Mytilus edulis: one gene and its partner. The protein of the gene in region 1 interacts with the protein of each later gene in a pairwise test. Links are inferred from orthologs where the notes say so. Each region holds a gene or a part of one and is shown on either strand. Other genes may lie near its edges.

Region 1 (12,403 bases):
CCTTTAGGGAGTGGTACATACTCCTCAGCCTCTAAATCAAACTCTGTGGCATAGGAATCAGATCTTCCTTGTCTCTGAAAATATTTCAATAGGAATTCAATAGACATAAATATTTGATTTGATGTAAGAGTGAAGACACAAATTTCTATTTTGAATATCTTGTGTTGTTCTGATGCTGTAACATAGAATATTTCCCCCAACACATTTTTACTTTTTCTATGTGAAATGATGCTCCTTATGTCTGCAATACACCTTATCGCTAATCCAGGCTGACCCCAGAATATGTCCCGCTCAAACTATTGACGTCATACAACAATCACTTTTCCATTGTGGCGTCAGATATTTTGTATTATGACGTCAAATTTTATGGGAACCTGTGTGATGTCCAGTAATGGCGGACAAATAGTGATAAGGTGTAATGTAAAACATGATTGACTTCTATCTTTTTTTAATTTTACCTTATAAGGTTACCTATAAATTGAAACAAGATAAGAACTGTAACTGAAAATCTTCTTCTCTTCATATTCTCATACTAAAAAGTGAAAACATACAATTGATATGTAAGCAAAGCTATCAAATTGTTTGGCCATCTTACAATTCAAATTCTATAATCAAAATCTGACAGCCTTGGAACTTGTAAAAGTTAAACTACTTGTTAGACATTCTTATTCATTCTAAAACTGTTATTTTACAGCTCCTAGTTACCTTGACTGCACCACTGTTAGCCTCTATGTAAATAACATCACCAACTTCTACTTTCTCTTTCTGTAGACTTTCATATATAGATGGGTCTAACTTAAGTTGTTTTGTTCCTTTGGCTGTTTTCAAACCAATTACAACATGGCTAACTGTCTTGCCATATCCTACAAAGACACATGTATATCATAAAATAATAATTTTCACTATTCATCAGTCAGAATAATTGCAAAACTATTGTTGACAATTTTATAGTCAACAACAAAGTTTATACAATGGTTGTGTATGCTTGCAAATTAATCTTAATATCCAATCATTTGCACCCATTCTACTTTTAATTATCCAAATAAACTTTTTTCAAAAAGCCTTGACACTATTTTTACTTTATGTATCTACAAAGAGCTCCCCCTCAACCAACTACATGTATTTAACTTGTGTCAAGATTGTTTATCACTCATGGTTACCCTTAACACCTCTTTTATGTCATGTAACATTGGTAAACTACATTGTTTGACTTAACTTTTATAGAAAAGACAGAAAATTTACATTGCATCAATCAGCATGTTTCCCAATACAGTATTATAACTTTGAACTATTAAAGTATGTTTAATAAAGAATCGTTAAAAAACTTTCTATTGCCATTTGGTGGCATATAAAACATACCTCCCATGGGATTTTCTGTTTCAACTGGAGACATCTCAGTCACTTCTCCTTCATAGACTTCTTTTGTTTCTTTGATTCTGAGTCCAATAGCTCGTCTAAAGTTCTCCATCAATACTTCAGTCTTTTTAATCTCAGTTGAGTATACTTCACTACCAACCATAGGACAGAAAGGGACTTTTGATCCTAGTTCCTGGGCAACAGCTAATGCTATGGCAGTCTAAAGGTAATAATTACAACTCAAGATTAAAATAGTCTGGAAAGTGACAATGTTTCCCTTTTTTTTTTCATCAACACATTTAGACGTTAAAGTGTTAAACGATCATTTGTCTGATATCCCAAAGAGTTATCAGGAGGGCATTATCATGGGTGATCATTTAATAGAGTAGGAGCTTATTTAACTGTAAAATATCTTTTTTACTTGGAATTTTATACCTCTAGTAATTTAAAAAGCAATTTGCCAAATTATGATGTTTTGACTTGAAAGGATGGAATATAAAGTAAAAGGTGCATAACACTGTTTGTTATCTCCCTTTCTTTAAAACATTATCTTATCATTAACACAAGAAGAGAGTTTACATTACCTTGCCTGTTCCTGGAGGACCTGCCAACAATACAGCTCTACCTGCCATCTTTTTGGATCTAATAAGTTCTACAACAACACCAGCTGCCTAAATATAAAATAACATCATTTTTAAAACACTAATATTCATCATTGACCTTTTTTTAACAAAATCATTAGGTTCACAAGCAGTATCAGACATAAATTGTTCAATAGACCTCGATGGCTGAGTGGTCTAACTAAGCATGTAACATATATAAATCAGAGTTCATGAAACTTCATTTTTTCTGTCAAGGACTTACAAACAACAAAAATTCCTCTCAGTCAGGCTGAAAAATAATGGCTTCAGCTTTATGATGACAAAGGAAGATTTCACAGCAAAAATCATAATGGTCTTTCAAGATGTCATATTTGGACTATAATTCAATGTATTGTACCCATGTGGGGTTTGTTCCCTTAAGTTACAGAAATTTGATAAATACAAATGCTGTTTTATTCATACCTGGCTGATTTGTAACTAGATTGTTTGGTAACCCTTACAGAAACTTTCGTACATATTATTACATTATTTATTTTTATTAATTATTTTAGTACATGGTTATAATTTTGTATCTCTAGTTTTTACCTAATTTAACAGTTAGACAATATATATATATATATATAAAATTATATGAGTCTAAAAGATTGTGTAACAATACCGATAAATAGATGGAAAAAAAAACCCACTAAAAAGTGTTGAAATATCATGGCACAAAGATGGAAAAACTAAACAGATGATATAAATTATACAATAATCGCAAATATTTCGGCTCAACAAATGGCCTTCCTCAGTGTTAAAAGTTTTAACAATACTGATACATAATGTAAAAGGTGTAAAAATAGATCAGTAATAATACAGGTATTTATTTATCGGTATTGTTACACAATCTTTTAGACTCATATAATTTTTCCTGTTTGTGTAGTATTGTCAATTTTGATGATCCAATACCTATTAAGGTGGCTCGGGACCTTTTCGAAGTTTCTATCAGAAGTGCCGTATTTTTTGTTATTTTATTTTTTACCGAAATTGAATCAAATTGGTCGAAAAAAAATAGGGGGTCACGGACCATTTAAGCTCAAAATTTTACTTTTAAACAGGTATGTAAAAGGGAACATTTTTCAATGAAATGATAGGGAAAATAGAGGTGTTGACATATTTTTATCGAATTATCAAAAAAACGTTCTATAACACTTGGTCCAAAACTGAAATATAAAAAGCTGAAATGAGCAAATAAAAAAAATAGGTCACCGATAAGGAAAAAAATATATTTTGCCTTAAAACCCAAATTTTGGCGGGAAAATGGTGAAAATGGGTAAAATATCATTCATATCATCCACCATTTTCTACATTTGAAAATGCCTGTACCAAGTCAGGAATATGACAGTTCTTGTCCATTCGTTTTTGATGCGTTTTGTTATTTGATTTTGCCATGTGATTATGGACTTTCCCAATTGATCTTCCTCTAAGTTCAGTATTTTTGTGATTTTACTTTTGACCCTCTAACAAATACGGATTATAACGAAAATATTCTATTATTCACAAAACTACAATGATTTAACATTTCTAATCAATCAAAATATTTAAAAAAAATAGATCGAATTTACGACAAATACTTTTGTAATTCATGCGTGAAATTATGCGCAGTCGAATAGTCCCGAGCCACCTTAAGTTAACTGGTTGGTAGATTCTTATAGACTCTATATATAAAATTATATATATATATATAATAATTCACTATTTCTGTCTCTGGAAGTATATAGTTTAAACATATTTTATTGTTCAAAACAAATGGATTAGACACAAGTTTTTCAACTTAGTTCCGTCTTCTCCATAATAGAGATATAGATATACAGTAAAAGATTTATTTAAAATAATGTACTTTTTAAAGACATATGAAACGAGTGACTAGTGAAAAATTATGTTTATCCAATTCTTGAACCAATTCATGTGTATATCATCAACTTAGTTTTCTGTGATTGATTTTATCAGGTTTTCACGCAAACATATCGTATAATTGTCGATTTCTTTTTTCTCTCTGTCTGTTATGATGTGAAAATATGGCAGCTAATTGTTTGTCATGTTTTGATTGTCACCTTATAGTAAACAAAGAAGCATGGATATTGAGCACGTGTATAACAAGTACCATCAGATAATAGTTTATTTCCATGACAGATACATGCGTATTGCGTTCACCTGATTTTTAAGAGAAGGGTCGTGCTAAGGTCACTTGCATACGGAAAATATGTCAGCATATTGATTCCTGGAAGCAAGCAATTAAAAAAAAGTAAACTTCTTCTAAGATTTAAAAGAATTTTCTTCAGAGAAAAGTATATGTGTACATAAGTTTTATAAAGAAAACTTTCCATTTAGTTATAAAAAACATAATGTCATATACATCATTTTTTTTAATTTGAGGTTTCATATATGACTGAGATAAACTGATTGTACTAAAAACAATTGTACTTTAGAGTAAAACCTGTATAAAACAGCCAGATTTGGGATAATGCAAGGGCTGGTTTGGACAGTGGTGGTTTATACAGGCTACCATTTTGAAAGGGAGATATTGACTTGTGTCATCAGATATTTTCCATGTAAAAGTATTTGTCATTGTAAATTGTAGACTATTAAAAACAAAAACTTTGAAGGGGGGAAATCGTACTTTAATTCTTAGTTGGAATAGAGGGGAAACCAGTTAATTCAGGGTCAGCTTTACCAATGTTTGACTGTATGTGCTTGATATAATATTTATACCAACATTGTATCTTATTACAATTTCATTTTGAGCAAACGGCCCATATTTAGGTTATACCTGCCTCATATTACTGACTGTCTTAAACCTGTCTCATATTCATACATGTACAATACATATAAAATCTTACAACTGAATTCAGTCTATTGAAAGATGCTTATAAATGCAGCCAAGAGCTTCACAAATCTAACATAACTTCTTGGTTCTCATTTGTTAAAAAAGTGTTAGAAGTTTTTGAAATTAAACAAGAAGTAAAACATTTCGGACAATATAAATTTTTGAACATATCTAGTAAATTAATTCACACTAAATATATTAGCAATTGGTATGCTAGCCAAAATAAAGCTTCTGATGGAAAACTGTTTAATTATGTGAAATTTAAGCAGAATTTTGGTTATGAAAATTATCTCTCTTTAATTAAGAACTTTGATTTTAGAAGATCTATATGCAAATTACGTATTTCTGCTCATAAGCTTCAAATTGAAGTTGGTCGTTTTTCAAATATTCCACGAAATGAAAGAATTTGCAAAAAATGCTCCTCTGGCTGTGTTGAAGATGAAATCCATTTTTTAACTAACTGTGAAAATTTTAAATCGGATAGAGATGCTCTCTTTGACTTTGTTTGCCAAAGAATTCCGAATTTTTCTATACTTGATAATCAGCATAAATTTATTTATTTATTAAACTGTGAAGACAATCAGGTCCTTAATGCTGTTGGTAAATTTATTAAAGTGAATATGAGTTAGTAATTGTATTGTAACTGTATGTAAAAAATTGTTTGTATCTATGTATCTATGCAAATCAATATTCTTTTGCCTTATTCATGTATGCTCTGTATGCCCCTTGTGGGCCCTTAATTGGAAATAAAATATGTTCTGTTCTGTTCTGTTCTGTATAACAACCTAGTTACTAGGTTAGTTCTAGTTACAAATCGACAATACACCTTATCACAGTTTGTCTGCCTTTACTGGACATCACAAAAAATCCTGTAAAAGTTCAAGCGGAACAGATCTCTAAATACATTGTGATAAGGTGTATGTCCAGCACAACCTAAGGCTATAGCATAAAAATAAAGATTTAGATGAATTTCACTGGTTTTTCAAGTGTTATGTTTTTGTTCTCAAAATTCAAATTTGGGTATTCTTATAATTAATCAGCAGAAAACAATGTTTAGAACTTTCTAGAAATTTATACCTCTCGAGCAAGTTCTTGTCCGACTAAACCAGCTGCATTCTGAATTGCATAGCCATTTTCATCCAAACCTAATCCTTTAATGTGACTGTGTGTAGCAATTCGTTGAGTTTTCGTGGTACTCTTCACTTCTTCGATCTTCATCTTTGTTCTTTGTCAGAGTTATAACTACGCAGTGCAACTATAAACAAAACTTTACACGAACCGGCACGCTACAATCGTGAAAAACAAGTTTATTGTCTACAACTTAAATCTCCTTTTCTAAAACGTTAAAATCACACAGATTTTTTTCGTATACTTTACGACACTAAAATTCTATGATTTTGCATATATTAATAAATTACCTCTAAAATATATCTATAACGACTTATTTATAATCAGATGATGCTTAAAGAATAACTGCTTAATCTCGGTTTTAAAAGAAAATATTTTACGACTTAATGTAAACCTATTATGGCGCATGCGTAAAGCCCATAGAAACAAATTTATTTACAAGCAAATTGGACACTAAATTATTTACAGTAATTATTAGCTTTAACAGATAGCCGTGCATTTGCACGCTATTGGGAATAGCAAAGAGGTAGTTTCTTCAATAAATCAAAAGGTAAAAGAACAATTAATTACTAAACGATAAGTGATGTCAACAGACAACAACCAGAATTTGCGTCCTATAGCTGTATAGGTCTTCTCATATCCTTACTCCAATCCTTTATAAATCTTTTCAGCATTTTTTAAAATTAAAGGGGATAGAAAATAGAATTATATGTCATGCATCAAAAATTAACGTTTAAGACAAATTGTTGACAAATTACGACACAATTTGAACTATGGGAAAGTGCAGGTTGCATGTCAGAACTCACACAAGTGAACCTCAATTCAACTATATTCTTATACAAAATGTGTGTCACAGTGTGTCTTAGTGTGTCGTACTTGCATATGAATTTGCGACAACTAAGCACTCGGGTTCTGAGTCTTGTTTCGTCCGATGCAAGACGTAACGGCCATACTACCATGACGGCCATAGGATGAAACGGCCATACCCCGAAAAGATGAAACGGCCATAGTACAAAAACGGCCATACTTTGTAAAGACGTATCGTCCATGGTTTTTTTTTGCCCACAACCACCTCCATTTCTACAAGATTGTGCCAGCCTTCCAACAGGAAGCCAAGACCGTGTCCATCACACAGCAGCTTGTGAGTGAACAGCAACTCAGCCGCTATCAACGAGACACATACAAGCAGCTTCAAGGCCGTCTAACTTCACTGTGGGACCAGTACGAGGAAGACAGTATCCGAACATCCGACTTTCTCCGTTCGGTAGGCCATCTGCATGCACCACCTGTTCCTCAACCAGAGACCCTCCCAGAGTCCGACTCTGAAGATTCCGACTACGAGTCTGATTAAGTGTTAATTGTAGTGACTTCATGATCGTAATATAGTGCATTTTGGTATGTTTTAGTGCTTTTGTGAATATAAATGTTTAAATATTGGGAGACATGTGTATGCAGTGGAATAAATGCATGAGTGACAAGAGCATATGAGAGAAAACGTAAGAGATTGTTTATTTAAAAAATGTATATTAGATGAATGTCCTACATGTATGAACGAAATGTATATATGAATGGTTTGTGTATGTTGTATGTATGAAGAAGGTTTATATGTTTGGTGTTTATTTGTTTATCTGTATGACTGAATGAATAAATAAAATATATTAAAAAAAAATATCATCTTTTTGTTTCTTATACTAGAGTATATTGGTATGATTGCCCATAATACAATTATCCATCAACAAATGCACAAAAATGAGAACATTTAAATTGTCAACAAATTGTTTTCAACACAATTCAACACAATGAACAAAGCAAAAAGAACATTCAGTATGATAAAAATGAAACTGGCCATCTTTTATCATGTAATTAGCCAATCGGGTGCACATTCCTGTCAGATTTTACGGGTAATTTCTTATGTTATTGGAAAATTCTGCAGTAGTCTCTGTCTTGGAAAGATGTTCAGCAAATAGAATGACTCTAAACTATAAGAAAGAAAAAAAAATCAGAATTATTAAACAATGTGTCTGATGATCATGACAAATATAACTCGAACTTGATGAATTGCCTTCCTTAGAGTTAACCTTTACACTGAGTCCTGTTTTTAATTTCACCAAGACTGAGATTGAGAAGATTTGTATAGTTTAGAATAATATATATTTTTTACAGATATAATAAAAAGATCTGTAACATGTGCTTGTATGTATATATCGTCATTGACAGCGACAGTCAACATTCCTACAGTTTAAAATTCATATAAAATATGATGCCTTTATATCACATTACAATAAAAATGATTCTTCAGAAAATGTTTACAACTGACAATGAAGAAATAATCAATATACTTACATAATATGGCCGCAACAAGTTGTAAACACGAGCGATGATGATCAAGCAAAGATAACTCTTACAAGAATAAATAAAATCTTCTGTACAGAAAAAAAGTACTACACAATCATATTTATGTTATTATTATGAACAAATACTTATTTTTTGTATTATATTTTATGTAATAAACTCAATAAAAAAAAATTTAAAAGTGTGGACGATACGTCTCACAATGTGTGGCCGATATGTCCCATGGACGATATGACGGTATGGCCGACACATCCTAGGGCCGTCATGGAAGTATGGCCGTCGCGTCTCGAAAGCGTTTCGTCTGGGCGCCATTCCTACGACTTTCAAATAACTAAAGCTGCTTACATATTCTTGTTTTAAGGTTAGCATATAGGATCATAAATATATTAAAAAGGGTTAAAATAATATTTCAATATTATTTACAATTTATCATTGTCAATAACTTTCCTTAATTTACTTTAAGCAAATTATACTGATTCAGTACAAATCAACACTGCGACACGGTGTCAACACACATAAGTGTGTCATGTTTCCAACAACCCATATACTGGTAAAGCAGATTTCTATATATACTTTATATAAATGAAGATACAGAATTCACTTTTGGAAATTATATAATACAAGGTGTTTTAAAACAAATTGAAGACTATATTGGAATTATTAGCTCTGAATAGGTTTTACGAAGTATTTAGGCCTTATAGGACAACACACTTTATAAAGCAGTAAAGATAGTAGTAACTCGACACACATACTTTTACCATATAAGAGAATATTGCTTTAGTAAGGGAATAAATTGCATATTATTATATTATTTGTTTATTGTCATAGTATTGTTCATAAGAGATATATACTGTTACCAGAGCCATTCAATTGCTACCATAGATGTAAATAAGATACATGTACCAGGATCATTCCGCTAAGGTTTAGTAATAGGAGTACGTTATTACCCATCCTCCCCTTATAAAACGCTCTAGGTCCGTCGATAGGTACACTAAGATTTTTGGATATAAAATTGTCGTTGAGGAGATTGTCGCTGATTACATCTCACAGGCAGCAGGTAGGACCCACTTCAATATGTTTGTCTAACTCAAATTACTGTAATCTTGATCATGATTGAATCTGCTTTTTGAAGAGAGAAAAAATCTTGCACAGTACATTGTATTAATCTTACTTTCTAACTATATATTAAAACCATAACTTTTTGAGCTCTCCTTGACAAAAGGGTCGTGTGAGCTGTACTAGAATTTAAATTTTTCATATCATGATTATAGGGTCAATTCATCTGTAAACCATAGTTAACTTGTATATCTTCTTCTCTGGAAACACTTGTGACAGATTTGCATGTACAATGTACATATTTAGAAGTCAACCATACCACTTACATGTAAATGGCAGCATGCATTAAATTATCTAGAATTGCATCTTATGTCAGACAGACTTAAGATAACCTCAGGTTTAAGGTCAATTACAAATATATTCAATATTGCATTTAAGGGAGATTCAACACCATATAAATGCAATAGAAATTTTGATTTTGATAGATTCATTGTCTTTTACACAGATATGAGTAGTCCAGAGCCCACAGAGGATTCCCAAGATGAGACAGAAGAGGAACCACAGAAATACACACAGCCATTGACTGCACTTCCTCCTAGAGTGGTACAACAAGAGGAAAGTCAGGTGGAGGTTTCAGCTAGTCCTGCATTCCAATGTCTTGACGAGGTTAGAATCTTTAAATTAGAGTTTTACAATTTCATTACAATTACAAGAGAACAAAATCGTCCATGTATTTTTACTTGTTACAGGATACCAAAAAAACCTATAAAAAACCTTAAAGACTAAAATGACTAATCATGTTTGTGTTATACAAGGTGTATAAATTGGTGGTCCTTAGGTAAGTGTAGATTTGGTTAGTGTACTGCATTTACAGTATAATTTCCTTATCATTATAAAGCAGTACATTGTATTTTATATTCTTTATTTCTAGTTGTTTCAAGATGGTAAATTAACTGGAACAAGACTGGCACATCTGAAAGCAAAGTACACAGATTTACATGAAACTCTGAAAAAGTGAGTACTTTTATTTTTATTTTTCGAAGATATGTCAATGTTTTGAATAAGTTACTTCAAAAATAGAAAAATTGGCTTTTGTAAAGTCTGTGGAATTTTTTTTATAATTATATAATTATTATCTACTTCAATTGTCTCCTAACTTGAGTTAAGGGCTGTTCCAGAATCAAACACATAGGGGTAGGTTATTTTAGACCCTGACCACTCAAAATTAAAAATTCTAAGAAAAATGTAACCACCCATATTTGATAATTTTAAGTGTCTCAAATCTACTCCACCAACTACATGAACATTTTAGAACAGCCCAAAGAAAGATGGAATGTATAGCAAGACCATTTTCCAGAAAAGGATAATTATTTTTTCTGACAGTTTTGTCTTGACAAGTTTTGAAGAAAAAAAATATTGATATTAACTTAATAATAAAAAAAACCCATTTCAAACAAACCCTAAAGGACTTATATTTTATTTCTGACATATTTAATGTGAATTGTTTTTATGGAAACTACAATATTTTTTTATAAAATTTGATTAAGTATTATAATTGTTTATAATATGATCTTACTTCAACAGAACAAGAGATAATGAATCAAATTTACTGAAGCAGGCCAAAGAAGTACAAGTAGAACTTGAAAGGCAGAGGATAGAGCTGGAGAAGGCAGATAATTTACCAGATAAAACCTCTAATTCGGAAGTGGTCAATATCAGACGAGAAATCTTAAAAAGTGTAAATGCTAAAGATGAAATATTAGACAGAGAATATCAGTTAAATTACAAATTTGAAACGTAAGTTCATATATAAAAAAAAGGAGTTGTTATGGTCCATGTGGTTATTGCTTTTTGTTTTGTTTTGTGTATATCATAAAATTTGCAGAGGCTTGAGTTGTAAATTGTGTTGCTTAGAGGACAATTAACCAAAGAAGATATATATTTTTTGTAACATCTTAAATGTTTATGAATAATATGTTTAAACTGGGAGTTCTTTCCAGAACTTTTCAACCTAGAGAACTTTCCAAATCTGGAAAAGTCTAAACAGCATTTACAAACAATATTTCTTATCTCATTACAGTCTGACAGAAGAAAAGAAAATTCTGGAAAAAGAATTTGCAAGACTCCCAAAGCAAGGTGTAAGTAAACTTCTAACATCTATGATCTTTGATTTTGTTTTATGTTCATTTTGAAAACTTTCAAAAAGTGCATAGTTTGTGTCTCCATTTGTTTTATATTGGTAATTCAAAATGTGTCCTTAAATATGGGAGGATAACAGAACAGATTAACTGCAAATTAAGCCTTTTGTTATTTTCACCTTTTAAACATGCCTTTAAGAAGGTTAAGCTGTATTCAGGCAAATATTGCTAACAGTACTCTCTGCAATATAAAAAACATGTAAAGAAAAACACCTTTTAAGCTACAGTATTCCAAACATGAAGACCATACAAATCCAGTTATAAATGTCAGAACTATACCCTAATCCAGGTTATATACAAAAGAAATAAAAGATTATAAGATATAAAAGAAGAATATGGTATATGAATACACTTGAAAACGTGATGTGAACTAAAAACAAAACATGAGGCATTGTTGGCAGAGTGGTTTAAGAAGTCCAAAATCTGTATCACTTGACAATCAACACTTGAAGGTTGTGAGTTTGAATCCCACATGTGGCATGTGTACTCAAATCCCAATATTAATTTACAAGAATTGTCAGTTTTCCTACTAAAGGTCAGTGGTTCTCTCTGGGCACTCTGCTTGCCTCCACCAATAAAAACTGACAACCACATTATAGCACAATAGTTTTAAAAAATGGCATTAAACTTCAACTAATCAACAAATCAACACAAAACACACAGAATGTTAATTTGTTTCCTATCTTTAGCAATTTTATTTATAACACATCTTCTGATCAACTTATTTCATAAATCTTTTTTTCTTAGGAAACGGAGAAAAAGATCAAGGAACTTCAAGCAGCATGTGATGAAATTAAGAAAGAAATAATGCAAAGACAGATGGAAAATAAGTCTTTAAAAGAAGA
Region 2 (12,322 bases), on another chromosome or scaffold:
CGCTTTTCTTCTATGATGACCGTTAGTTTTTATTGCAAACTGAAAATGCATGCACACTTAATTAAAACAGGTAAAAAGTAACCTCCGCCAGGTACTTGTACATTTGTAGGCAATCTTTTATTGTTAGAGATACAGAGAAAGTTATTGCAGGAAAAATGCTCAGAAGAGCATGAACTGTAATGTTAGGAAATTACTTCACTAAATTTTTTATCAAGTAACCTGCATTTTCAGGTAATTTTAAACAGGTAAAAGGTGTAATTTATTACATTTGTGTAGAATTCCGAATAAAACTACTTTTAGTCTTCAATTATTTTGTTGTTTTAATTTATGTGCAATATAATAAAGAATTCCCAGTTGCTCAATTCTGTAGCGCTATACACGTAACACAACTTATTATGTAATAGTGGCACAAATAAGTGGCTCTGTCCTCAAAATTTTCAGACTGTCAACCTCTGTTTTCCCTCCATTTTCTACGTCTCGTAATGATCGTTCAAATTATATTTCACACACGAATTAAATGCAATAAACACATTGAGATAACAAGAAACCTTTTAACTTATCTTCATTGTCAGTTTCGCAATAGAAATGCTGAAATATTTACATATTTACAGCTTCGTTTCAGATTTTTGCCATTTGCATTTGTCAAAATATTTGTTTTTATTTTCTGTCAGTTTTCCCTCTACTGAATGATTTTACTATAAATATTGCTGGGATTTCAAGTGCAAATAAGACCTTGTATTTCCTAGATTCATACGAGGAAAAATTAGAGAGGACCTGAACCAAAACCGAATGGTTTAAGAGTCGTGATGATGCAAGGTTAAATATCATTTTCATCATGTTCACGGTAGAAACTATATATATGTAACATTTGTTTACATTTATTATTATACATGATATAGCACTGTGAATGGGGAGAAAAAGCCAATTGCCTGAAGTCAGCAATCGTAACCCTTACCATGCAGGTTTTTTTTATATTACGGCCATACTCAAAATATCGTTATTTGGCTCCAATGGCTCTCCATATTTTTTTTTAGGTAAACTTGAAAACATTTATTTCAAAGTGAATGCATGTTACATCATTCTTACACTATTGTCATATTTCTTAGTTTTAATGCTAATTCTGATAAGCATGATGAGCACAAACTTGTATGAAAAATTGAAATCAGATAAAACTGTGGTTTTTGGAGGTGTAGGCTTCTTTTTAATGTATGACACGCGAGGTGCAGGGGCCTAAAACTTCCACAAGTAGTGCAAACCAGCAGGCATATAACTATCATGACTATTGCTCATGTTTATTATTAAAATACACATAGGAAATGGCTACTTTCGGTTGTACACTTGTGTAGGTCCTAATTAGTGTTAAATTAAAAAATCCGAAAAAAAATCTAAATTTCATATATTGGGTCCAAATGACTTCTTTTGAAATTAGACTGACCATGGCCAGATCAATTTCACTCTGACCAAAGAACTGTGGTAAATTTGTTCACTGGGGTCCACTACTGATTAATATATAGATCTATCAGCATTCCTTGGTCTTCCATGTCAGGAAATAGGATGAAAAATTGTCAAAATTGATGCTTTCTTTCTCCGTAATTGGCTATTGACCAACTCTAAGACAATTTCTACCTACTGAAGAATTTTTAAAATATTTAAAAAAAAAATGTGGTATATTTTTATAGATCGAAAAAAAATTGCTGACATTATATAGGACATATTTAATTTTGCAGCTTCTTTCATCATCATGATTAAATTTACTCATAAAAAAAGCAAAAAATATAGTTAACATTTGATATAAATCATAATAATAGTAGATTGTCAATACATATTTCTATGTGAAAAGTTGCTATAATTTCAATTCATTCAAAAGAGTACACTGCCTTGATATATATAGTATCACAACATCAACAAAATTGATCTTTTTGGAAATTTTAAAATTGATGAAATGCCCCTAAAATCATTCCTCATGGTCTGACAAGTTTTTTACACAGCATTTTAAAGCTGTCCTTCCTCCTCAAATCAAAATTTTTGTGATCATGATGCCAAAGTGCAGTTTAATTCTATCTTATTTTAAAACTGAAAGAGCATGAATTTATATTTATACTAGAAAGAAGGAAAACTTATTGAAAGAAGGGGTTGATAGTCATGATAGTTGGAAAATACATCCAGAAAATATGAGATACATGAATAAATAAATGTGTATGTGTATGCAAATCAACACAACATTTTCATTCTCAATTTTAGTTCCAACTTCACAAACAATCTTAATTTCATAAGCTCAATAGATTTTAATCAATCAAAATGCAATACCCCTCATTCTGACCCTCGTGTAATTAATGAAGAGCATCTGACAGTAATTAGAGGCATGTGAGAGTCTAGTCTGATCTGGTGAATGACATATCTCCAGTGTATCTCTATATCTGTTCAGACTTGTCAGAGATGGTATGGGTGGTGTTGTTGGTGTTCTGCTAGCAAATTGTGGTGAAGTAAATATAAGATTTCTCACATTTTTTTCCACACATCTCCCCATTGTAAATTTTGTTTCTGTGTTTGACTCGTTCAGTAAAAAATATTGAAAGTGAAAATAAATTGATGTATTTATTACCCTACACCCACCCGGGAGTGATTTTACTGAACCATTTTGTATTTAATTATAAATTGTACCTCTCAACTTATTCCCATTTACTGGTATATATATTTATGATAAAGCATTTTTATAAAGATACATACATGTATATCTTGTTCATTGTTGTAACTTAAATGTAGTAATCATGTTAATCAGTGGTTATCTTATAAGTATTGTTTTTATGTTAAGGAGGAGGGGGTTAACTGATGCAAAAAATCAATGGGTCTTTATGTAGTTTTAGAAAATGATACATTTTATGTATTTATAGACGCCTCCAAATGAGTTGACAAATTTATACATTATAAACATTCTTTCATATCATTGTGATCATTTTGTTGAGAATGGCATGCATAGATTAATGTTCAGTATTGTTTAGTTTTGATATATTTTGGTACTTTTTATACGACCCCAAAAAATTTTTGGGATCGTATAATGGTATGATGTCGTCGTCTGCGTCTTCGTCATCCGAAGACACATTGGTTTCCGGATAATAACTTTAGTTTTAATAAGTGAATAGATCTTTATGAAATTTTTTCAGAAGGTTCAATACCACAAAATGAAGGTTGGGATTAATTTTGGCGATGATGGTCCCAACCGTTTAGGAATTAGGTTAAGTTTTGGGTTAATTGCCCGAAATATGTAGGATTTAGGGGCCTAAAAAGGGCCAAAAAGAAGCATGTTTCTAGTTTCCAAACAATCATGACGACAACTTGTGTTTAAGTGTATGGATCTCTCTGAAATTGTACTACAAGGTTCAATACTACAAAAGAAAGCATGGGATTGAGTTTAAGGGTTATTGCTCCAATAGGGGTTTCAAAAAGTGGGGAGGGGGATTTTTTGTTTACCATTTTTTTAAGGGATTCCTTTTTTTTCAAAATTTTTCAAATTTCAAATTTTGAAAAGTTTCAAGAAGAAATATTCAGTTGCACAGTATTGTGCAATAGATTTGTAAGATCTTTGACCACCTTAATTTTGTGACAAAAACCCATATTATGTAAAAAATTTGATCCCAATCCAAAATCAGACAGTATCAAGCTTGAATATTATGACCAAATTTGCCCCAACTGTTCAGGGTTCGACCACTGGGGTCATATATAGCTGCGCCCTGCGGAGCACCTGGTTTAAAAAGTCATGGATAAATAGGAAAGGGTAAAGCTGGTGAACATCCCTTTAGCACATGTACAAAATGTAGCACAAACAAAATATTATACATCTATCATGTTTATGTTTCATGACACTTGTGTATATTATGCTTGCATTTAACCCGTCACAAAGAAACTTTCAAAATTTGGACTTAATATTATTTTTGGCAATGAACAGTTTCGATAATTACATGGATATTGAAGATATATAAAAATGTACTTGAAAATGTTGAAAGTCAATATGCCCCAAATGATTGATCTGCCCTCTGTTCATGCTGTCTTTAAACTGTTAAAAGAGGCCTCAAGCTCATGGGTTTATTTTGGGAGAAAAAACATAAATCATTTCAAGATGTTGCTAAAAGAAGTAGAATTTAAATATGAATTACATAACTTTAGCAGGTAGACTTCAGCATGAGACAGATGTTGTTACCATACACACACAGTCTTTGCCAACAGTTCCAAGATGTTAATTTCATAAACAAAGAAATACATCATGTACATAATAAATGTTATTTGTCAGATATCATTTATATAGATGCCAGTGGGTTTTCTATTGCTCTCTGGCCTCCATTTGATAAGATGTAAAAAAGAAGTAATAATCAGTGGCTAGTTCTAATTAGTTGGTCAGAATTTTGTTTTTTTCGGAATGAAATGGGGAATTCTATAACTAGCAACAATAATGGAGATACAAAACATCCCACCAAAGTATGTACTTCTTATTCTTAATACATACATTGTATGTCGGTAAACATTATGTTTTTTTAGTTATTGTTGTTTTGTTTTAGTTCTATTTGAACATGTAAATTAATGTTGCATGGCTGAAAATTAGTTTTATAAAAGCATGAATAGCTATCCTGCTAGAAATTTCATCAAGGTTTCAATAACTCTTAATTGTGTACAAATTTATGGTGAAGCAGTTACGTTGTTTATAGAATAATGTTTTAATTAATCACTCGGCTGTAATTGATGAAAAGAAATTCATGCTGTCCGATCCTGCTCAAATTATTCAAAGATTAAAACATCAATTGCAACCAATCAAGATCAAGAGTTGTCAAATTAAAATTAGAATTTGCATGAAAATACTTCTGAGAGACTATAAACAAAATGTACTTCTAATTAGATGACGTTTTTTATATAATTAATTGATAACACTAATGCAAGATGAATTGATCTTTTAATTGATCAAAATCAACAATGTAATTACTGAATGCACATGTACATGTTGAACATACAACTGATATATTAAGTCATGTAAGTTTAAAAGATACTTATTATTTGAAAAAAAATATATACATACAAAATGTAATATTTATTTACATGATACGAATGTTGAAAGTTGAAAATTGAATGTTAAAAACGAATGTTGAATGTTGAAAACAAATGTGGCAAACGAATGTGGAATGTTGAAAAGAATGTTTAAAGTTGACAATCGAATGTTGATATACATCTTAGAATTAAATACTAAGCATTGCTAAGTAAATATAATTAAAGAATGTACAAAAAATATGTACATGTATATAGTTAAATTCTATCATCAAAACCATACAGTTTTATTTTTATATGTATGTATATTTAAAATACTTTCTTTTTGAAAATAAAACTAAAAGGTCCTAGAACATGACTCCTGAGTCTTATTATAACATTTTTTATTCCTAATGATGGCTAATCCCTAAGGGCCCAAGGATACAATGTATTTATCATGTAATCTTATCAAAGACCTTGATGTGGAACTATCATTTTCAAATTAGCATCAATCAGATAGGAATGATTAGAGGTGTACCATTTCTTACCATTTCATACCAGATGTATATTTCTCCAGCTGTGATGATCTTGTTGATAATTGTAGAAACTTATCACCATGATCATCCTCAATATTGGGGCTGTCTGCACCTATAATTACTATCTAATCATGCTAATGTTGAGGAAGCAGTCAGGGGGTTCTGTTTCAATGTAGGTTCATAAAACAAAATTGGGATTGAATCAGCTGACACTTTTGGCTTTGCTGTATAGCTAGTCCAAGTTTTAAAAATTGACATTATCTTTGCCTCATCAGTTCATGATTTTTTTGTTTGTTTGATAAAAATAAGTGAATAATCTATGAAATTGACAAATTACTATTTCAATATATTTTTAAACAAATAATAGTAACTGGACTTATTAAACATGTTAAATAGAATTCATGAAATTATAAAATCACTAGTTTAGAAAATGGGGAATAAAGCTTGATTCACTTTGATTATCTTAGTTAGAAAGTATGTTATACATGTACTAGTACCAAGGGTTAGTGTTCTATTGTTCAGTGTACTATCATGGTATATAAAGCACATGTAATTATTTCCTGTGTTATTTTTGCAGCCAGACAAGTTTCCTCATAGATAGACATACATGTAGTTAATATTAAACATTCAAAGAAGACGAAACATTGTACAGTATAGTATACAATGTACACAGTAAATACAAAGAGATTAAAAATTGCTCTTGCCAGTCTTGGAGGCCTGGTGTCCAGTGATTCTTATTTATGACCCTTTCATATAATTCTATGAGATATAAACTGTATAGACTATAGACTGCTAACTTTGCTCTAGATCAAACTCTTAAATCCAGTTGACTGTACTTTAATTATCAATTCTTGTTTATGTAACTTAAATTATAAATTAGAAAAGAAATGCACAGTTCTAGTTATTTTGTCAAATAGGCAGTGGTGATGTCCTGTCCAATTTGCATAATTTCCTACATTTAGTAATATTTATAGTTAAAAGCAATTGTAACAATACAACCATAAGACATTCTACATGTTTTTATGTAAATTCTTGGGAATACTAAGATGTTATCTCCAATGTGTGTGGAATTACATGCACCTGTATTACCTCTTGACTCTCCCTTTCTTGAGCCCCAAATTGACTTAACAATTGATACCAGGAAGATGACATAGTATGGCATTCTCCTGGTTCCGCTCAACTTTTAGAACTCTCTCTTCATGTTTTCTTCGTGGAAAATCAAGAAAAATTAAACAGGTATGTTCAGATTCTAGCCAATTTTCTTGCCTCTTTGATCTTTTTTTCTAATTTTTTGGGGAAATTGAATTTTATTGTAAACATGATAAGAAATTAATTAAGAAATATAATATAAGAAATGTATTTGTAGAAGATTGGAGGGTAGCCAGGTTGTCATGATGGAATGCTATACTCATGTGTCTGTTGATTTATATTGCGTGATGTGATATAAGACGTCTTGTATATTTCTGTTTGATATAATACATAGACTTTAATACCTTCAATCCTTTACACAGCTACATCAGAATGTAGTACAATTCTTTACATACTGTGCAGTAAAATGGTTCTAATCAGTTACTAATTAATTGCATGTATTTTTGGAGAAATATAATTTAATTTGCTGCTGTAATTTCTCAGTGCTATATATGATGACTAATAGGAAATTTGTTGACTAAAGTTTAGGTGAATGTTTTCAATTTGAACTATAGATCTATATACATGTTGACAGAATTGTTTTACATTGTTACTGTTCTTTCTTCAACTAGCATGACTAGACAATGGTCAGTAGTGGCCTTAAACTACCTACTAAACTTATTTGTTGATTCATATATATATATATATATATATATAGAGGCTAGAAGGAGGTCGCTTGTAGAGAGGTCTACGTAGATCGTGTACTGTATCACACTAGCCTGTCAACACATGGCAGGTGCCTTTGATCTTAATTGATAAGTATCACCAATTTTGTTGCTAAAGATTGGTGTTCTTTGGGCACTTTAGTTTCCTCCTCCCTCCTCCAATAAATTCTGGCCATCACAATGTACATGTAGCTAAAGGTGCTGAAAGTGGCATTAAACACCAAAAATCAATCAATAGATTTTAAGCTGACAATTTAAGCAATTGTTAACTATTAACAAATATTTCGGTATAAACACACAACAAAAGTCCATAATTTAAGAATGAGTAGTAAATAAATGTTACAATATTGAAAGATAATAGTGATAATACATGTAGCATGGATGAAAGTTTAGAAAGATGATATCACTGAGTATTCACTCATGACACAACATCCCTACACATGTACACATGCCTTACATACTTAATACCTTGAAAAGTGAAAAAAATGTGCTTTAATTTTAATGCTGTTCTTCGTCTCAACTTTTCAATTAGACTGGTAGCATGGGGAACAGCGCTAGCTTACCGGTACACCATTAGTTATATATACAAAACTAGCTACCAGTATGTATAGTCATGCTAGTAGTAAAATCAAATTGTGATTTAATGCATAGATCTACATGTAGACAAAATAATGTTGTCTTTGGACTTCAGTCAATAATTCTGCTTTTCTTTTTTCAGCATCCAGACGAAAGAGAAGAGATAAAGCCTGTAGCTGAACCAAAACTTGTTCAGATAGCACAACCAGTTAACGAATCTTTTTCAAAGCAGGAAGTAAAATCAGAACTTTCGTCAGGTTTTGAGCATCAAGTTCAGATTTCAACTCCTTGTGAACAAATTCCAGATCTTGCCACTGTAGACACAGACCAATCCCCAGACACTTTCTCTGCATCAAATCAATCAGTTGCTTGGTTAGGAGAAGAAGTACTGTCAGAGGATCTTTCAGATTTAGATTGTTTCGTTGAGCCCGTGACTCTTTCTGCTGTGGATGTTAAATCTGTATTAAAATATCCACTGAAAGATTCTGTGACTGTGTATCAGCAAGATAGCTTTGCTTGTGATAGTGATAGCAAGTGTGAAGAGGAATCGTTAATTGACGTTGAGGATTTAAAAGAGGTAGAACAAAAACAATCATTTCCTGTCGGAGAACTTCAAAGTTTTGATTATTATCATCAGCTTATTGCAGAGGATTTACGTATAATTGAAGTCATGGAGAAAGTTGGTAGGTTCATGTATGAATTCCTTTTTGAGTGCATAGAGGCCATATATGGTCCAGGATTCATTAGGTATTTGTTATGGAAAGCAAAAAAAATCATCTTTCCAATATGAAAAAAAAAGGACCGGAGATGTGGTATGATTGCTAATGTGACAACTATCCACCAGAGTTCAAACTTAGCAATTATAGGTCACTGATGAATGGCCTTCAACAACATGAACAATGAGAACACCCAATACTGAATAGTCAGCTATATCATGTATATAATGCTCACATATGAAAAAAAGGTGAAATAATTGAAACGAGGAAACTAATAACCTTATTTATAACAATACCATTTACAAAAAACAAAAAGCAGACATGAACCAGCGACAATATCTGAACAACACCATTATAGATTGTTACATGTATAACTGAGTATAACATTCCATCAAAATGTATAACAGAATTGCTCATTGTCACTTTATTTATTGACAAAATAGCTCTTGTAGAACCATAAGTATGATACACTACTGTACATGTACATGATGTACTTAATCATATGAGAAGAAGACGCTATATATATTTTTTATGGCAGTCTTGATGAAGGTTGATGTTCCACTTGGCACATTCATTTTGAATTCAAACATGTTGAACACAATGATGGGATCATAAAATATGTAATATACAGGTCAAGTTCAATTTTGACAGTGGACATTTACGTTTCAAAAGTTAGTGTACACTGTACATGTAGTGTGTGTGGGGAGGGGGAATGTATCTGTTATCAACAATAAATAGACCTTTTCCAATTTGTGAATGTAATTATACAATGTGCTTTATATGTATACAAGCATGACAAGTTACTTTTCTCTCTATTCATAGAAAATTTTGCCACAGAACAATTAAATCAAGAACAAGGTGTGAACTCAGAGATCTCCGGTTTGAGTGAGAGTGCACTCTCTTCCCTGGTCCAACAGATGACAGCCCCAGACCCTGCTGAGAGAGATGGATCTCCTGACAGTCAGAATGGGTCCATGCATGCCAGTACTGGGTCTGAAGGGTTAGAGGAGGCATTGAGTAGAGATCTGAAAATAAATGGGGAGAAAACTGATCCATCCGAAGATAAAAATAAGAAAAAAGAGGACACTGACTCAAAAGACCGAACAAAAATTGACAAAAAAAGTAAAAAGAAAGAGGATAAAACTATAGGTAAAAATGGTAAATGTCATGGAATTAAATTTTAAGATTTCAAGGACTAACACTTTTACTATCACATATTCTTGTTATTCAATCTCTTTGATACATAGACATTATTATTCAGTGAACCCTGTCTAGAATGAAGATTACACAACCTGGCTTTTTTATGCCCCACCTACGATAGTAGAGGGGCATTATGTTTTCTGGTCCGTCCGTCCGTTCGTCCGTCCGTCTGTCTGTCTGTTCGTCCGTCTGTCCCGCTCCAGGTTAAAGTTTTTGGTCAAGGTAGTTTTTGATGAAGTTGAAGTCCAATCGACTTCAAACTTAGTACACATGTTCCCTATGATATGATCTTTCTAATTTTAATGCCAAATTAGAGTTTTTACCCCAATTTCACGGTCCACTGAACATGGAAAATGATAGTGTGAGTGGGGCATTCGTGTACTGAGGACACATTCTTGTTTTAAATGTAAATTATGAGCCAAAAATAATTCCAAATGTTCAGAGTATTCGACATCATTGATCAATATGTTTTCATTGAAGTTCAAGGACACCATCTGTCAAAATGTCAGTAGCATAACAAGTAAATATTAGAAAGATATCTGATTAAATTCCATGTGAGAAGAATAATGCATTTTTCCTCTTGTGATGTAAAAACAGATCTGTCTGTTACTTCAATGTTATATTTTGAAATTCAATTTCAGAAATTTTGGGAAATGGTTAAAAAAAAATTAGTAAATTGGGAAGCTAAATTTTTTGGGTTTGCTATATTTGTATTAAAATTTCATAGTTGAATCTTATTTTGATATTTTTAGACCAAGGGGTAACTAAGTTCAGAAACAGGTGTTAAAAAAAAAGTATTAAGTTTGTTAATAACATTTTTTTAATAACTCAAACTTTTATCTTGTTGATTGTATAAAAAAGAAAATTGTGTTAGCTTGGTGTCCTTGAACTTCATTGATGAAAGCAAGAGTGCATGTGCACTAGTATATATCAGGATTGTAAGTTAAACAGATTATAAACCACTTGCCTCCAGAAGGATTGATTGACGTAATATCTAACAGTTTATAACATTACTTTTGTGTATTGTTATAATTTAATGATCTGTAATTTAGTATCTTCAAAGTCTATTGTTTATTTTAGAACAGAAACAGACTAGCATGTGTTTTTATAGATCCACTTCATATTACCTTTCAAAACAAATCACTGGTGCATTTAGATTCTGGCACTTCTCCATGAAATGTTTAAGCTTTTTTTCAGGATTATCAGAATAACAAATTATTGATGTGATTGCACAATCATCTTGCATCTTTCAGCAACACCTGAAAAAAGATTAAAGAAAAGTCGGTTTTGTAATTAATCAACACCCACATAATTTTCCTTGCCCGGCTTCTTTTAAAAGTTTTAAAATTAGAGATCTTGGTTTTTACGCAGTTCTTTCTTCAACCTAAAGCGTAGCTGGATGTGCAAAATTTGTGGCCGACAGTAGGTGTCTTAATTTAACCAAGCTGAATAGAATATGAAGGTTTTTGAAAGTTTCTTATCATATTGACAGGTATAGCAGTGACAAAAAAATCTATAAAAGGACTAGATTGAGAACTTTGGAAAATGTATGTTTTTCTGTATTCTGAGAGCTAGGTTATATTTTAAGAATCAACATGTGTCACATTCTAAGAGCTAGATTACGATTCAAAACTAGGGAATTTTATTTTTTCTGTAGATCATATTTTGAGAGCTTTGAACAGCCTACAAACAACGGAAGAAAAATTAGCTGCCTTGTGTAAAAAGTATGCTGATCTCCATGAGGAACACAGAACTGTAAATTCTACAGTCAAACAAATGCAGCGTAAACTTAGTGTGGTGAGTATATATTTAGTATATACAGATTAATGTCATTTAAAAAACAATATATGTATAACATTCAGAAAATTAGTACAGACAGAAAGAGGCCAGCTGAACTGTCCCTCCAGGTGTGGGATTTTCTCGCTGTGATAAAGACCTATTGTCATGATTGTTGGCATTCAGCTGTTTTCTGCACTTTGGTCAGGTTGTTGTTTCTTTCACATATTCCCCATTTCCATTCTCTCTTTTACTGTTTGCTATTCCTTATAATCTAATTTTCTGATTGCTATATATATATATTTATACCCCCGCTTTGAAAAAGGGGGTATACTGTTTAACCTCTGTCTGTCCATCTATCCGTCTGTCTGTCTGTCCCATGAATATTTTTCGTCACATTTTTCTCAGGAACTACAATACCAGGATTTCTGAAATTTGGTTTCATGGTTTATATAAGGGCTATACCGTGTGATGCGTTTTCAGATTTATCACTCGACAATTTCCTGTTTACCAAACACTTTTATGATTTTACACATGATAGCCTAGTTGAAAATTTTTTGTCACATTTTTCTATGGAACTACAATAAAAGGATTTCTGAAATTTGGTTGCAAGGTTTAAAGTCAGCTTTTATACTGTATGATGCGTTTTCAGATTCAC

The links.
Region 2: the proteins of coiled-coil domain-containing protein 146-like (region 1) and alpha-taxilin-like interact in binary tests that used the Homo sapiens proteins (3 or more experiments, as listed by UniProt). The link is inferred for Mytilus edulis from reciprocal best matches to the Homo sapiens genes CCDC146 and TXLNA.

Annotation. Positions count from the first base shown.
Region 1 is NC_092344.1:87,604,724-87,617,126, forward strand, and holds the start of coiled-coil domain-containing protein 146-like, read left to right. Parts: upstream 1-6,339; 5' UTR 6,340-6,502; intron 6,503-9,865; 5' UTR 9,866-9,867; coding exon 9,868-10,026; intron 10,027-10,291; coding exon 10,292-10,374; intron 10,375-10,944; coding exon 10,945-11,157; intron 11,158-11,440; coding exon 11,441-11,498; intron 11,499-12,305; coding exon 12,306-12,403. Other genes in the region: ruvB-like 1, read right to left, coding at 1-74, 706-863, 1,360-1,576, 1,941-2,027, 5,902-6,042. UniProt on the Homo sapiens protein: Essential for sperm flagellum biogenesis and male fertility.
Region 2 is NC_092353.1:78,673,754-78,686,075, reverse strand, and holds the start of alpha-taxilin-like, read left to right. Parts: upstream 1-6,669; 5' UTR 6,670-6,698; coding exon 6,699-6,779; intron 6,780-8,114; coding exon 8,115-8,655; intron 8,656-9,510; coding exon 9,511-9,846; intron 9,847-11,545; coding exon 11,546-11,685; intron 11,686-12,322. UniProt on the Homo sapiens protein: May be involved in intracellular vesicle traffic and potentially in calcium-dependent exocytosis in neuroendocrine cells.